Linked DNA regions of Ovis aries. The protein of the gene in region 1 interacts with the protein of each later gene in a biochemical or structural test. Links are inferred from orthologs where the notes say so. Each region holds a gene or a part of one and is shown on either strand. Other genes may lie near its edges.

Evidence for each region.
Region 2: the proteins of DLAT (region 1) and PDK2 form a complex in vitro, tested with the Homo sapiens proteins (2 studies listed by BioGRID). The link is inferred for Ovis aries from reciprocal best matches to the Homo sapiens genes DLAT and PDK2.

What each region holds. Positions count from the first base shown.
Region 1 is NC_056068.1:22,025,460-22,034,222, reverse strand, and holds the start of DLAT (dihydrolipoyllysine-residue acetyltransferase component of pyruvate dehydrogenase complex, mitochondrial), read right to left. Parts: upstream 5,632-8,763; 5' UTR 5,587-5,631; coding exon 5,308-5,586; intron 4,818-5,307; coding exon 4,716-4,817; intron 3,872-4,715; coding exon 3,747-3,871; intron 3,602-3,746; coding exon 3,448-3,601; intron 1-3,447.
Region 2 is NC_056064.1:36,290,217-36,298,979, forward strand, and holds the start of PDK2 (pyruvate dehydrogenase kinase, isozyme 2), read right to left. Parts: upstream 4,909-8,763; 5' UTR 4,787-4,908; coding exon 4,669-4,786; intron 4,309-4,668; exon of another isoform or gene 3,345-4,308; coding exon of another isoform or gene 3,275-3,344; intron 2,890-3,274; coding exon 2,748-2,889; intron 1-2,747. UniProt on the Homo sapiens protein: Kinase that plays a key role in the regulation of glucose and fatty acid metabolism and homeostasis via phosphorylation of the pyruvate dehydrogenase subunits PDHA1 and PDHA2.

The DNA.
Region 1 (8,763 bases):
TACACAGGCTTTCGCTAGTTGCACTGAGCAGGTGCTACTCTCCAGCTACAGTGCACAGGCCTCCCATTGGAGAGGTTTCTCTGGTTGCAGAGCATGGGCTCAAGGCACGCAGGCTCAGTAGGTGGAGCTTTTGGGTTTGAGAGCACAAGCTCAGTAGTTGTGGCACATGCGTTTAGTTGCTCTTCAGCATGTGAGAATCTTCCCAGACCAGGGATTGAACCTGTGACCCCTGCAGGCAGATTCTTAACCATTGGACCACTAGCCAAGTCCCTCCCAGGTACTTTTTCAAGATAAAAAACTAATATCAAGGACTGTTCGGGACTTCCCAGGTGGCCCAGTGGTTTAGACTCTGTGCTCCCAATGCAGCAGGGCACAGGTTAATCCCTGTATGGGGAACTAAGATCCTGAATGCTATATGGCATGGCTGAAAAAAAACCCCAAACAACAAAAACCTGTTCTTACAATAGTCACTTCCACCTGAGTAAAATGTAAAACAGATTGGCTAATCTAAATTAAAGACTGCTTCCCTATTTATATGGCTTGTATGTTCACTGAATTTGGATGCTCACTCAGTTACGGTTTTGTTTGCTATCTTCTTAAGTCTTTTGCATCTATTTAACATAAGGATTATGCTGAGAGAAAAGTCATTTTAATTGATGATGTCTCAGGAAGCTGTGGGGAAAAAAGCAAAACAAAACTTAGAACTCTCGACCTTCTCTGGTGGTCCAGTGGTTAGGAATCCGCCTGCCAATTCAGAGGACTTTGATCCCTGGACTGAGAAGATCCCACATGCCTTGGGGCAACGAATCCCATGAGCCACAATTACTAAGCCCATGCCCTAGAGCCCTCGAGCTGCAACTACTGAAGCTCCTGTACCTACAGTTCATGCTCTGCAACAAGAGAAGTCATCACAATAAGAAGTCCAAGCACCATAACAAGAGAGTAGCCCCTGCTTACCAAAATTAGAGAAAGCCTTCTCTTGGCAATGAAGACCCAGCACAGACAAAAAAAATTTCTGTAACTTTTTTTTAAATTAAAAATTTTAAAAATTTGCTGAACAGGATGAAATAAATGTGTGAACTGACCACCAGGCAAAATTCCATCATGAGTGAATGTTAATAAAAGACCAGGGAATAGAACATGATGCCCAAAGAAGAAAATTATTCCTATACAAAAATTTCTACAAATAATCTAAGAGAAGAAAAAGTTCTAGTCTTAATTCTTTAGGAAAAAATGCAGCTGGCTTTTATCCATTTCCAATATCCAAAACACACAAATATACAGGGGGTAATCCTAATATCTAATAAACTAATCAGTAGACACTGATTTAGTTAACAGAATCAACAGTGACTACATTTACCACCTTCAGCTTTGTTGTGACGCTATTATACATGTCTGTGCTGAATCGCTCAGTCATGTCTGACTCTTTGAGACCCCATGGAATGTAGCCCTCCATGCTCCTCTGTCCATGAGGATTCTCCAGGCAAGAATACTGGAGTAGATTACCATGCCCTCCTCCAGATTATATATGTCTATTTGACGCTTATTCTTTATTGTTAGTCTTTTCTAAATACTACTGGATTATTTCACTTACTCTGAGAAAACAGAACACTACATGTCAAGGAAAAACACTAACTGGGGGCTTTTATTCAATAGACAGCACTTCACGCCTACTAAAAAAACTCTATACAGGGAGTATATATAAGTGGGTTTCCCAGGTGGTGCTAGCGGTAAAGAACCTGCCTGCCGATACTGCTGCTGCTGCTGCTGCTAAGTCACTTCAGTCGTGTCCGACTCTGTGTGACCCCATAGACGGCAGCCCACCAGGCTCCGTCATCGCTGGGATTCTCCAGGCAAGAACACTGGAGTGGGTTGCCATTTCCTTCTCCAATGCATGAAAGTGAAAAGTGAAAGTGAAGTTGCTCAGTCGTGTCCGACTCTTCATGACCTCATGGACTGCGGCCTACCAGGCTCCTCCGTCCATGGATTTTCCAGGCAAGAGTACTAGAGTGGGTTGCCATTGCCTCTTAGGTACTGTATAATAACAAATTAACAAAAGGATCCAAAGGTCTTTAGCAGGAGGAAGAATATAGAAAGTAACCAACCATAACCTCAGAAGAGGAAGAAACTCAGGACTGAGGAAAAAAATTCTGACACAGTTTTTATGCCCCAACTCCCATAACATTTTTGCCCTGAATAAAGTCACAAAATTTTTGGACAATTAATTTTTTTATCTTTTTACATGTGTAGGTCACTTTTATTCTGAGCCTTTCCCAAATAATTATTTTAAGGAAGACTTCTTTCTACACATCCTGACATCTTGCTATTAAAATGGCATGTTAAAACTGGTCAAGTGATAAATCACTCAGCAATGTTACTGGCTTAATTTCAATTCTAACCTGGGTATTAATGTTCAAGCAATATCTATCTTTATGTCACGGCTTGTACTCAGTCATGCCTCACTGTATTTGCAATCCCTCGAACTGTAGCCCACCAAGCTCCTCTATCTATGGGATTTTCCCACCAAGAATACTGAAGTGGGTTGCCATTTCCTATTCCAGGGGATCTTCTCAACCCAGGGATCAAACCCACGTCTCCTGCATTGGCAGGCAAATTCTTTACCACAGAGCCACCATATTAAGTTAAAGTTGATGAAATTCAACTCCTTAAAAGCTAATGATCTATGGCTGATTCATGTTGATATTTGGCTGATAACAAAATTCTGTAAAGCAATTATCCTTCCATTAAAAAATAAATTAATACTAAAAAAAGCTAATGATCAGTTACAAATTCTTGCTTAACTTTTAAAGACTATAGTCAATAGTATTTTTCTTTTGTTGCTCAGAGAAATTCACATAATAGCCATCACCGTTTTCTAAAGCATGGATAACACTGTCCCACAATGTGCAAACAGAGAGCTCAGGAAAGAGGCTTCCCTGGTGGCTCAGTGGTAAAGAATCTACCTGCCGATGCAGGAGACATAAAAGAGACACAGGTTTGATCCCTGGGTTGGGAAGATCCCCTGGAGGAGGACATGGCAACCCACTCCAGTACTCCTGCCTGGAGAATTCCATGGACAGAGGAGCCTGGTGGGCTACAGTCCACAGGATCACAGAATCGGACACGACTGAAGCGACTTAGCATGGCAAAGTACAAGTACAAACTATCCTCAAAATCCAACATGATATTCTTGAATGAAAAGTACCAAACATTATCCTACCTGCTACACTGAGGCTGAGAAAGGTTAAAAGAACTATCCAAGTACACACATCTGGAAATAACCACTAAGAACAAATGTTGTCAATTTTCATGTTTAAATCTCTATTTACTTTCAAATGACAAAAACTAGCCAGGTTTAATGCTAGTTTCCAGGATGCGACTCATCTATGAAAAATAATGAGTAAATAATAAATTTTCTAAAGCAGACACCCAGAGGCTGAGCCTCACCTGCATGTGAGTAGGATATGAGCTACCAGGAGCCTGAGCAGAAGGCGCAGGTGATGGAGCGGCGGCGGCAGGGGTTGGTGCCGGGGCTGCTTGTGGGGCAGGTGCTGCTGAAGAATCCAGTGTGTAATTTTTAAAGGCTTCAACATCTTCAGGCCTAAGAAAAAGAAAGAACATGTAAGTATAAAGGGGTTATAAAGCACATGTATCAGCCTTAGAAGCCTTTAACTAACTCCTCAGTTATAGGTTAAAATACTCCACTTAAGCACCTGACTTTCACAGATTCCCCTGATCCTACTCACTTTTCAACTGTGATACAGATGATTGCTCCAACTGGAACATCTCTGGTACCTTCAGCAACAAGGATCTTTGCCATGTAACACTCCTCCACACTCTCAAATCCAACAGTAGCTTTATCGGTTTCAACCTTTTAACACAAAAGCAGGAGCTTAGGCTTCTGCTGCCAGTATCAAGTTTTATTAACTTGTGTCTAAAATCATACAGTTCAAAGTGAAGTCAGTCAGAAAAAGAAAGAAAAATATGTGGAATCTAAAATGGCACAAATGAACTTATCTACGAAACAGAAATGAACTCACAGAGAATAGACTTGTGATCGGGGGGTGGGGCAGGGAAAGAACAGAGTAGGATTTGGGGGTTTGCAGATGCAAACTATTACATACTGAATGGAGAGCAACATGGTCCTACTATATAGCACAGGGAACTACATTTGGTATCTGTGATAAACCATAATGGACAAGAGTATTTAACACAACATTGTAAATCAATCATACAGCAATGAAAAAAAAAATCATACAGTTCAACAGTGAAAATAAAGCCTCTATCACAGGTTTGAAAGAATTACTATTAAAAACACCCAGGCTAAAAATCAGTTTGGTTAGTTGCTGCTAACTTGGCTAACCAATCTCTCATATCAAACTGTAAAAAACATCTAAGTTTCTTAATGCATCCATGCTAAGTCGCTTCAGTCCTGTCCAACTCTCTGCAACCCCATAGATGGCAGCCCACCAGGCTCCTCCATCTCTGGGATTCTCCAGGCAAGAACACTGGAGTGGGTCACCACTTTCTTCTCCAATGCATGCATGCATGCTAAGTTGCTTCAGTCGTGTCCGACTCTTTGTGACCCCATGGACAGCAGCCCATCAGGCTCCTCTGTCCACGGAATTCTCCAGAAAAAAGGGATAATTACCTACTCAGAAAGTTAAGGCTCCGTTTAGTCTAAGCTAGTCTCTTCTAACTCATTTACAACTTACCTCTGCAATTAGTTCACCCTCATTGATTTTTTCTCCTTCCTTCTTTTCCCACCGGGCTATGGTACCTGCCTGCATTGTAGGGGACAGTGAAGGCAATGGAACCTAGAGGAGAAAAGGGAGAAATACTCATTTTTAAGAGCTACCTAACTCCCAATCTGGTGTAACACCTCGTTCAATTCAGACTAATTTAATGCTGAGTCTGAGTCTCTTCACACATTGGGCAATGGGCTTATAAAGGGATTTCCTAACACCAAAAGCTCTCAACCAGAAGGACAGATCTCCCGTTCCGCTGTACTGGGTGGGTCTAACAGCATGTACTCAGCAGACATTCCACAGACCGCCCCAGGCTTGGCGCTCTTTGAACGGAACCGGTCAGAAGGAAGCCTGCAGCTCCTTCTTCAATGGCATAGGTCAGGAGAGGGAAGCTCAAGAGGTAGAGCAAAGCTGGGTAATGGAGAAGGGACAGTGACAGAGTATACCTGGAGGGGGGCGGAGACGGAGGATCATCAAGGCCTCTAAGGAAGGATCCCAAGCCAACAAGTCTGCCGTGAAGGACAACGGGGTCCCGCGAAGGACAGGTTCTGGGGCTTACCTTCTGATGCGGGGGGAGGCTGTACCAGCGGCGGCTAGGCGATCCCCAGAGCTGCAGCAAGACGCGATTCCGCGGTGTGGCCCAAGAGACGGGGCTCCAGCCGCAGAGTGCCCGGACCCTGCCATATCCTGGGGTCTTGCTGCTGTAGCGAGCCAGAGCCGAGCCAGCCTGCGGGGTCACGCACCGAGCTCCCGGCTCCTCCCGAAAGGCCGTCCACCGAGCCCCGAATCCCGCCCGGGGGGCTGCATTCTGAGCCCGTCGCGCACAGACGCGCCACATAGTGCCACGGCCCCCACACCCCAAAACCAACGCCGTCTCCGGAGTGACCTCTCCAAGAGCAGCGCGGCGTTGCCGTCAGGCGCGCCGCGCGGCCGCAAGTTGTCGTAAAACGGGCTGCGGAGCCTCGCCCCACCCGCTCCACGGACCGGAGAACGTATGGTCTTTCTCCGGGAAATGAGGGGCTGAGGGTGACCCAGAGCAGGTCGGGGCGGCTACTATTGAACGACGGGGGGCGGGGGCGTTCCAGCAGGCCGAATCTGGGAGGATTAGATGTGGGGAGGAGTGGAAAGTGGTGGGCTCGGTGGCGAAGGCGTCGCTGGGGCGGGGAGACAGGACCTGAGCGCCGTGACGGGCGCGGTCGAAAGGGAGGGGCCTAAAAAGGCGGCAAGAGCGGGACTGCGGGAGGTGAAGTGGTCAGAGGTGGGCTGAGGGGCCTGGCCCCGCCCTGAGGATGGATGGGAGGGGGCTCCCGGCCCAGCCGGGCACCGAGAGCCTGCTAGGCGCTCTGGCGGAGGGCCGCCCGAGGGGGCATCTGTGCTCGCCGGTGCGCCCCCAGCCTTAGCACACCCTTGTGGCCCCCAAGTCTGGGGCCTCGCTCCTCGCAGGCTGTACTGGGTGACAAAGATTCAAGTTCAGGATTGTAGCCCAACAGGAAACGGGATGATTAGGTTTTCCAGCCAAATGGTGTGAGCAGCTGAATGAATGGAAGCTATATCCCCACATTCAAGAGTGCTGTAGCAGGATTAAGCATCTTCTCTGAAGAAAAAAAGTTTACAAAACAGATTTCCGATTTTAATTTGCCGTAGAATCCTTTCCAGTTACATTTGTTACAGTTCTACTGTCGGGTTCAGTTCAGTTCAGTTCATTTCAGTCGCTCAGTCGTGTCCGACTCTTTGCGACCCCATGAATCGCAGCACGCCAGGCCTCCCTGTCCATCACCATCTCCCGGAGTTCACTCAGACTCACGTCCATCTAGTCAGTGATGCCATCCAGCCATCTCATCCTCTGTCGTCCCCTCTTCCTCCTGCCCCCAATCCCTCCCAGCATCAGTCTTTTCCAATGAGTCAACTCTTCGCATGAGGTGGCCGAAATACTGGAGCTTCAGCTTTAGCATCATTCCTTCCAAAGAACACCCAGGGCTGACCTCCTTTAGAATGGATTGGTTGGATCTCCTTGCAGTCCAAGGGACTCTCAAGAGTCTTCTCCAGCACCACAGTTCCAAAGCATCAATTCTTCGGCGCTCAGCTTTCTTCACAGTCCAACTCTCACATCCATACATGACCACAGGAAAAACCATAGCCTTGACTAGATGGACCTTTGTTGGCAAAGTAATGTCTGCTTTTGAATATGCTATCTAGGTTGGTCATAACTTTTCTTCCAAGGAGTAAGCGTCTTTTAATTTCAAGGCTGCGGTCAGGTTATCATCCTATAATTGGAAAATAATCTCATTTCTGAGCTGAGGGTGGCATTAGACTAGAAGGAAATGCGTGCTGTATTTATATCTCGTAAGTCCCCAGTATACAGATGTTCAGAGAACATCAAGAATATAAGAAAACCAACATTTTAAAACATGTTAAACTTTGCAGGTAATTAAACGTTTGGAAAAATAAGGCAGCCAGAAGGCACTATTTCATACCTACTTAAATTGGAAACTTTAAGTTACTTACTATCTTTATAACAGAAAAAGAATTGGAAAAATCTAGCTATCCAAAAATGAGGAAAAGATTAAACAAGTACAGTTGTCTAACAGAATGATATGCAGGGAGTACAAATGAGAAACAGAATTCCCAGATTAAATGGAAAGGCATACCTGAAATAATATTAAAAGTAGAGCAATTATATTGTTAGCAATTATGTAAAACTACTTATGAATAGCAATTGGAAGAAATAATGGAAGAATAATTGTGATTAGTGAAAGAGCTTATACTGTATAAATTATTTAAATGTTTTAACAATTTTGAATTGGCTAAGATACCTTACTACAGTACTTCCACTCTGAATTTAATAACTGGATCTAAATTACTTTAGCCTTTGTACAAGATGATCTTCGGTTTGTTGTTCAGTTACTTAGCCTTACTTAAGCCTTGTTGTTTTCATTTTTCTGTGCATAGCAAGTTCACATTTTGAATATACTTTTGACAGATGTAGCTAAATCATGGGAGGGCACAGGTGAAACAGTCCAGGAGTGGTTAGTTTACCTCAGAGGTAAGCTGGGAATAATTAGGTTTGTCAAATAAGCCCTCTGAGACTTGTAGAATATTACTGATATCAAATGGGTGAGATGTAAAGAGGAATTAGTTGGTAGTGAAAGTTCTTGACATACTTAACATAATGATGGAGTAACCCAATTAAAATGGCTTGTAATTAATAGATGAAAATAATATAATTGGAAGGCAAATGAAAGCACCCAGGGCTAAAACTTTAGATATATAAAACCTTGAAAGTAATAAATAAAGGCTAAGTTTTAGGAAAGCAGCTTTCAAATTAATTTGGAGGTTCTGGTTGTTTTATACATTTCCGAAAGCCTCAGTGTTTTTTGCTTTTGTGTTGGAGACTGTTTTGTCATAGTTTAGAGTCTTGGGTTCTTACTTGTTTGCATATTTACATAAAATGTCAAAAGAAGTGCTAAATAACACTAGAAATACCAGTAGTAATATCTGCAGCAATAAAGTAATCCTATCTCCACTCCCCAAGTAATGAGTAAACATGCTACCAGGGAGATCACTTGAGGAAATTTACTTTCACTAAATGTGAATGGCTTTCTTGATTAATTTCAGTTGATAATAAACACAAGTGAAAATTATGAATGGTATTTAGTTTGCAAACTCCATTTTATTCATAGTTTGTTTCTGCGTTTTTTTTTTAAAAACTAGTTCACAAATCTGGTACATACAGGCAGTTAAAACTGGTTATCACTTTGATAATCAGAAGCCTCTGGTATAACACAATCTTTATGAAAACGTAAAACAATACATGACAGTAATCTCTTCAAAAGCAATGGTTGCAAACATCCATGTTTCTAAGAAAATATAACTTTACATATATATTTTAAGCAAGCTATACCCTCTTACATAAATTCAGACAATAGAAGAAGTGTGCAATCATAATGCTTATTTTATGGGGGAAATGAAAATTATTATAATTATGACCTAAATGTTTTAAGTAATTAGAGTCCTC
Region 2 (8,763 bases), on another chromosome or scaffold:
ATGCACAGGTCCTGTCCATTTCCAAAGGAAAGGTTTTACTGCTCACTCACCAGTCTCTGAGGCCAGTAGCCCTCTTGCCAAGCTCTCTGGTAGGTTGTCTCCTTCCTCTCGTGAAACTGCCTACCTCCACCACCTCCATCATCCAAGCTGGCAAGGGGGTTCCTATGGAGAGGGAGGTCTATCTCAGGAAGTCCTTCCTTCCCTCAGACCACAATCTCTCTTGCTGCAGTTGATGCCCATTCTCTGGAAAGAGTCTCAGCAGGCTGTCTCTTCAGTGTGTCAGCACACTCTAGCAATACCTTGGTCTGCTGCTGCTAAGTCACTTCAGTCGTGTCCGACTCTGTGCGACCCCATAGGCGGCAGCCCACCAGGCTCCCCCGTCCCTGGGATTCTCCAGGCAAGAACACTGGAGTGGGTTGCTATTTCCTTCTCCAATGCATGAAAGTGAAAAGTGAAAGGGAAGTCGCTCAGTCGTGTCCGACCCTTAGCACGGACTGCAGCCTACTAGGCTCCTCCATCCATGGGATTTTCCAGGCAAGAGTACTGGAGTGGGATGCCACTGCCCTCTCCTGCTCTCCTCTAAATGAATCATCCATTGGGAAGCATTCCCTCTTGTCTCACTTCACTCTCTCCTGCTGGTCATTACTTCCCAGCTTTGAGAGAAGAATTAAGTCAGGCCAAGCCCCAACATGTGTAACTGATTTTCAAGAAGGGACTCCGGGACTTCCCTGATGGACCAGTGGTTAAGAATCTGCCTTGCAATACAAAGGACATGGGCTCAATCCCTGGTCAGGGAACTAAGAGCCCACAAGCCACAGAGCAACTCAGCCTGTGTGCTACAGCTACTAAGCCCCTGCACCGCAAGTAGAGAATCCATGTGTCGTAAAGAAAGATCCCCCATGCCACAAGGAAGATCCCACATGCCACAGCTCAGACCCAACCCAGCACATAATAAATAAATATTTTTTAAAAAGAAGGGGCTCTATGGGCCTTGGGGGCATCACGGGCAATCAGCACCTCCCTGCCCTCCCTCCCCACATCTCCTGACTCTCCAAGGAAACAAGTGTCCAAGGAGGGGCCCGAGAAGCCCTGTCCTGGAGTTAAGGACCAGCTGGAAAGGCAGCCCGGTCACTCAGCTGGACAGAGCCGGAGGAGGGATGGAGAGAACAGATGGCACCTTCTGTCTCCTCCCCATGCCTTCCACGCTGCCCCATGGCAGGAAATGCCGGTTGGCTTGGAGGTCTTGGACCTCTAAGGGATAGGCCCCAGTCAGGGGTGACCTCATTGTGCCACACAAAAATCAGGCTCCGCCCTCTGTCCCCCAATCCACCTTCATCACTTGCACTAACACTGCCCTGTCCATAAAGTGAGTGCTCGGATGCCCTAGCCGGGCTCTCTTCTGCCTCCACACCTTTGCACACGCAGTTCCTTTGGTCTGAATACACTACCCTCCTTTCTAGGTCAAAGTTCACTTAGGCAACCTATAAGGCCCAGTGACACGTCACCCCTACTCTGCCTCCATTTCAACTTCCCCACAATGTTCTGATTCAACTGAAATTCACTGTGCGCAGACCATGTGCCTGGTCTTTCCTTACTTTATCCTCATTTAGTTAGAATAAGTCATTTATAGCACATTCATGCACAGAAAAAAGCTGGAAGGGCATCAATAAAGGGCACTTACAAAACCTGGATGTTTGGTTAGAGGGTGGAAGAGAGGGGTTGACATTTTCTTTTATCTACTTCTTTGTGTCCTCCAAATGTCAAAGTAAGCATGTCATACTTCTTCAACAAGGGGAAGAAACCAACATTATTTTAAAATAATATTATTTTGCTTTTAATTGAAATAAAACAAACTCTTCAGTAGCTTACTGCTCCTGCCACTATGGAGCTCTTAAGCTTGCCCCTTTTATTCTCCCCATGAGATCATGGGCTCCTGAGGAGCAGCTGCTGCTGCTGTTTCCCTGACCTAAACACAGCACTGAGCTCCAAGTAGGTGTGGATACCCCGAATCAAAAAGGAAGCCAGAGTAGTACCAGACCTGCCACGGCCAGAAAAACAGGCAAAAGATTTCTGCACACATGCCACTGAAGATTGACCATGATTAGCTACTCACACACCCAGTTACAGAGCAAATTTTTGATTATTCTTCATGTGATTGGCTTTTGGTTAATGTCATTCAGTTTTTAATACTTATCCCTGGACAAAATTTTTGAGTAAACTTCACTGAGAATTTCTCTCTGCTACTGCTGCTCTGTGCAATAAACTTTTGGTCTTTGCCCGTCTAAAGCTCTTTGGGGTTGGTACTGTGCCATCCTTGTGTCCATTTGAGTGTTTTCCAACATCCAAAACAGGCTGATTTGTTTGCATTATACAGCTTGAAGATTCACTTCTTCCTGTTTCCCACAAAGTTGCCCCAGCTAGATGTTATCCAACAGGTGCTAGATTTTCAGGGTCAGGGCTGGTGGCAAATGCTGACATGAGCCTGATTTGGGTTTTGGTGTGAAAATGATGATTTCCTTTTCCAGAGAATGGAGGGTGGTGGGTATAGGGCTGTCTCAGAGACATGGAGGCTGGAAGTTTGATCTGAGTCCCTGCTATGGCCTAGGATTCCCACTTGACTGTGAGAACTGCCCTACCTCTCAAAGCCCCTGTGCCTCTCCTCTTTCCCCACCTCCTGCAAGGCTGCTGGGAGCATCGGGCATCTGACAATGGAGTGGGCGGCCTGGGGATCTAGCCAAGGGTCTCACCAGCTCTGTACCAGCTGCACCGAGGGTGTGCTCAGCACCCGGTCAGGAAGCAGGTTGATCTCCTTCATGATGTTGGCCAGGCGCACAGGCAGCTCCTGCCTGAGGAAAGTGAACGAGGTTTTCTCACAGGCATTGCTGGACCCTGCAGGGAGAGGGAAAGGTGAGCCTAAGAGTTACAAAGCACTGGAGCCAGAAGACCTCCTAGTGGTGGGGAAGGGGTCAGGTCACTAAATACTTCATTTCCTGACGGTTCAGGAGAGACAAGAAGACAAGGAGGCACAGGACAAGGGGCCCCTCCTGACCCATGCAGTGGCCACCACACCACCCAGCCTAACCCTTAGGGAGGTGGTGTCCTTTCGCCACCTCCAGCTGAACCCTGCTTGCCTTCAACCACAGGGGACAGGGCCACCCTGGGCCCCCTGGGTGCTGCCTCTAGCCCAAGTTATCTCACTTCTCTTTCTTTCCCTCCTAGTAGACTCTCACTTTGCAGGGCTTGTGGGCAGAGGAGCCTGGGAAACCCATCCTACCTTGAGATGAGCTCCCCTGGCTGAGAGAAGCTATGCTCAGACCGCTGCAGCCATAGGGTCCTGGCATCATCTTGGCCCAGGTGGTCTTTATGTCCACAATAGACTTGCCCCTACATTAATGCCCACCCACCTGAGAGGTAGACAGGGTCGGGGAACTAGGGCCCAGATACTTAGATTCTTGGTCTGGCTTGAAGATGAAGAGTGAGTAGAGGACTGAATGAGGTCATGGCCTAGAGTCAGGAGACCTGGGTTCTAAGTCCAGGTTCTGCTTTTAACTCTGTCACCCAGGGCATGTCACTATCCCTCTGAAGATCTGCTTTACCCACTGAACTCCAAGTGGACCACTCTACTGTGAGTCCCTCCCTGCTGTGACAGTTCTGTTAACTGGGGTCCAGTCTGGACTAGACAACTGCTGGAGGCTGGGAGCGGGCTCAGGCAGCTTTCCTACATGGCAGGAGCTCAAACACGGAGGGAAGCAGGTGAACAAGTAATCGGGCAACAGATGCCCTGTGTCCTGGCTGCCACCTCCCCGCCCCCTCCCATCAGTGACGCAGCTGTAACCTGAGCCAGGCACTGTCCCCTCAACTCTTGAGAGACCTGGGCAACCCCTTCTAGTCCCTAGCTGGCACCATAGAAATTCCGTGCGAACAGAAACTGTCTAAACAATGCCTGTTTCAGTCACCATGTTGGCACAGCCTTCCCACTCCCCGATCACTGGTGGTAGGTGACCCTGGCCCAGGAACCCAGGGGCAGCCAAGGATGGGTACAAGCTGTCTGACTCCATTTCATGGTGCCCTGGACCCCTACCCAGCTGGAGACAGACGGCCAGGCCACAGCAGATTTGATCTTCAAGCGTCCTTGTCCTCCAAGACAGCTGGGGGCCAGCTCTTTCAGTGGGGGGAGGTGTACCAGTCAGGGCGTCTCTCCTGTTGACTCATTTGAAAGAGTCCCTCCCGCTAACAGACCCCCAGGGCAGGTCTCCTTCCCGAAGGCTCGCAATGCCCCCTAGTCACTCCTACAACACCCCCCATTTTCCTCTCTGACCTTTACTCTTGGAGTCTCCAGGACAATCCCTAGTAACCCTTCAGTGCCTGGATACACCCTCCTGCTCCAACGGCACTGACTCACTGCCCCTTCCTCTCCCAAGACTCTTCGCAAAACCCAGTAAGATACCGTGGACCCCCTCCTTCTCAGTGCCCCCACTTCCCCCTAACAGTCCAGTCTCTTCAGCCGGGGTGCCCTTAACCCTTTCAAACCCAACTGGCCCCTGCCTCCCCGTTAACTCTTTCCTGTCTGGACTCCAAGGTTTGCAAGCAAACCTTCCCTGTCACTCAGCCTCCCCACTCCTGCCCCTCGCAGACCCCCGGGGCCAGCCGCCTCCTGCTCACTCGTACCGAAGTCCAGAAACTGCTTCATGGACAGCGGCGATGGGGAGAACTTGCTGAAGTGCTCGATGTATTTGGGAGCCCCTGCCAGGGACGCATTCTTCAGCAGCGCGCGGACCCAGCGCATGGCGGTGGCGACCACTTCTCGGGCTCGGGTTCTGGACCCTGCGCGGGCAGCGCTGGCGCTCGGCTCAGCCCAGCCCAGCCCGGTGCCGCGGCGGCCGCCTCCTCCCCACCGCGACCCCGACTGGGCTCCGAGTCCCGGCCAATTGGCTTGTTGCGGCGCCCCGACGTCGCTAATGGCGTCTCACAAACAACTCCAGGAGAGCCAATAGCCTCTCCCCCCGGCACGTGGCTCCCCCCTGGGCCCGCCCCCTTAACCCAGTGTTTGCCCCGAGCGGCCTGCTGTTTTCAAGAGGCAGCGCCGAGAGCCCGCCTCCCCGGCGTCACTACGCGAGTTCTTCCTCCCGGCCTAGCCCGGATTAACCCCTCCCTCCCGAAAGGCCCGTTATTCCCTTTCCTCTTACACTCCGTTTCGCCGTTCCCTCCCCGAATCTCCTTCACTTGCCTGCCCGGAGGTTGTTCGAGAGCTTTCAACGCATCCTCTTCCGCCCGCGAGGGCCCGATTCACCTGTCCCGACTTCCACCCACCTGCTCTCCCTCAGGGCGTCTGGTGGGTTCCCAGTCTGGACGACTGTGACTCGGACTGTGGATGAACCGGGATGCGAGCCCATGCTAATCCCTCACATAGACGTGTAACACAGCTACTTCCACAAAGATCCAAGCAGCTCAGGACAAGGCAGCATTTTGCTTTTCCAGTTAAAAAACACCGAGTCAACCCCCTCATTAACGCCTAGCGGCGGCTACAATGAACTTTTAAAATCACCTTTATTATTCTCTACTCTTGGATAAGGTAATGGCAACCCACTCCAGTATTCTTGCCTGGAAAATCCCATGGATGGAAGAGCCTGGTAGGCTGCAGTCCATGGGGTCGCTAAGATTCGGGCACGACTGAGCGACTTCACTTTCACTTTTCACTTTCACGCACTGGAGAAGGAAATGGCAACCCATTCCAGTGTTCTTGCCTGGAGAATCCCAGGGACGGGGGAGCCTGGTGGGCTGCCGTCTATGGGGTCGCACAGAGTCGGACACGACTGAAGCGACTTAGCAGCAGCATTTGACCCGAGAAAGCAACCTTTTTCGCACTTGGCTTTCTTAGAGAAAGGTCCTGGAAGATGATCTGTGCTGGAGGCCAAGAGCCGGCACTTCACAGCAGTCCGGATCTCTCATGGGAACAAAGCTCGTCCTCTTGTGGTCCAACGCCAGATATGTCCTGTCCCGGTATCCCACCCACTTGCCCCTATGAGGTGTTTTTCCACTTCAATCCTTGGCCCACACTCACCAAGTGCCAAATAGTTGCTAGGTTTATATGCTGGGAATGGGAAACACAGACTGGATTGGGATACACAGACAGGATTGGGACATGGTCTTTTGGCTTGATTGTTTCATTTCTCAGTTGAGAGAGCTGCATAAGTAAATAATTAAATAGTTAACAACAGATGCAGTTGTAACCAGTGCAGAGCTGTGTGCAAGGCTTCACAATGGAAGGGACTCTCTTAGCTGAATGAATAATATTCCATATGCCAGGCACTCTTTGCATGCATCATGTCATTGAATTCTCCAGATAGCTCTACCGTGCTGCTGTTACCACCATTTTACAGTTGAGCAAACAGGTTCAGGTACCATCTTCCACTGCAAATCTGAAGGTGTTACTTCCCTTGCTCACAGCCTTGGCTTTCACTTCTTACAGGAGCCTTTCCAGTTCTCACATGATCTACTTTAACTCTCTAGCCTCATCTCTTCCGCACTCCCCTGCTCAAGTCCCACCCATACTTATCTAGTGCCTTGAACCAGACTTCAATCTTCCCACTGTTGCAAATACGGTCTCCTACCCATGGATCATTCTTTCTTCTCACTTTCACCTACCCATTCTTCTGCACTCACCAAAATCGTCAATGACCTAATTGCTAGCTGAATGGAGTACAGGTAACAAAAGGCACAAATCCCCAAATTTTCCACTATATGTTCAACTTGGGTTGGTGGGGCGTTCTCAGGGACTCAGACTGACAGAAACTTTATCTCAACACAGGCTTCCACAGCGTCAGAGCTGGGAGAAGCAGAACTGGGAGAGTCTCACCCAGCAATTAACTGTCTCAGCCCAAAACTGATCCCCTTCCCTCCGGCTGACAACTCATTGGCCAGAATGGCATCATCCAACCAGGAGGACCTAGGAAGTGCAATCCAGCCCTGTGCCCAGGAGAGGGAGAATCATCTGATGGGTTTTTTTTTTTTTAACTGATACAAGAGCCAAGACACTTCTTTTAAAGTGTTTGGAGGTACTGCAGCTCCAAGGAACTCAATAAACTTGGCATAATACAGGGTTCTTTTCTATAAAGTGGGCATTGCTGGATCTCTGCCAGTATGTTTCTTTCATGAAAGTGTAGCTGAAACAGTCCTGAAAATGTCTACTTACTTTCACAAGTGTGTGTGAGACAGATGGTATGTTTTCATCCAAACAAGTGCTCACAGGAGATGGGGGCTGGGCCTGGGTCAAAGCGATATATAGATCCCACTTCATTCTTCAGTGGCAGCAAAGGACTGGACCGGGCTGGACTGAACTCTGATCAACTCGAGCTAGGCTTTGACGACCTACATGTGTGTTTTTTCTGACGTAGAGAATAACCCAGATTTGGAGAACTGAGGTCTCTGGTCACTGGTTGTGGGTAGGGGCTGGGGTTTTCTTGGAGGAACTAGACCATTTCACTGTCAATCAGTGACAAATCCCAGCATTGAAAGTGAGGCAGTGGGCTCTCATAGAGAGGGTAGAGGGCAGACAGCTGCCACAGGGGGCCACCTGAGGCAGCTGAAGCTGAATTGAAGATCTGCCTCTAGGCTTTTCTGAGTAGTAATTTCCAGCTTTCTTGTCAGAAAGACTTCCTTGGTGACTCAGACGGTAAAGAGTCTGCCTGCGATGCAGGAGACCCAGGTTCAATCCCTGGGTCGGGAAGATCTCCTGGAGAAGGAAGTGGCAACCCACTCTGGTATTCTTGCCTGGGAAATCCCATGGACAAAGGAGCCTGGCGGGCTACAGTCCAAGGGGTCGCAAAGAGTTGGACATGACTAAGCGATAATACTTCTTGTCAAAGGTCCTTGGGAACAATTAACAGAAGGACTTGTGACACAATTTAGGACAGAGAAGTCACAGGGTAAGCAGCCTTGCTCCATCTCCCACGTCTGAGGCTTGGTTTTGGCACTAGCAGAGGCTGGGACACGCGTGTCCACGCACCATTCAGGGTGTACAAGCACAGTCCACAGCCTTAGCCAGAGGAGGCAGCAGAGAGCTCAACCCAACTCTGCGCCTGTGAGCTCAGGTCAGAAGTGTGTCTGGAAGAGCTGATGCAGGCCAGGGCTCCCGGTTCTCCCTCCCAGAGCTAGGGAGTGGACACTAGGACTTTTCAGTTTTTCCACCCTTGGGTCACTGGTTCACCATCTGATCTACTCATCATGGTATCTAGGTCTGGTTGTGGGGAAACCGAGGCAGTAACCAGGCTCTTATCTGAAGGTAGCCATCAGATGAGGGCTCTTAGCTCTCCACCTGTGCACACAGCCTCACTCTATCATTAGCCAGGACTACCTGCTTCTACAGCAGAGTGGCTTCCTGCCTCTTCCAGACCCTGCACACCACCGCCTCTACTCCCACTCCTTCCCCAGGATGGCACAGTGTCCACCAAGAAGCTGCTTTGGATTCCATACAGTCTACTCAGGGCCTTTCCTCATCTGATGTTCTGAATCTCAGTTATGGGACGGTGACCATCCCTGAAGTCTGGGGCACCCCTGAGAACAGGAGCTGTTATCTCTGCCATAGAGCTTCACCCTCCCAACCTCTCAGAGCTCTGCGCCTGGCTCTGTCCACCTATGGATCACCTAGGTATCATGATCCATCAGATGGAATGGTGTTGGTAAGACGTGGGGGTAGATGGAGGCAGATGCAGTGTGTACAAACAGGGGGCTCTTTACTGGTTGCCGTGAGAAGCCTATATACAA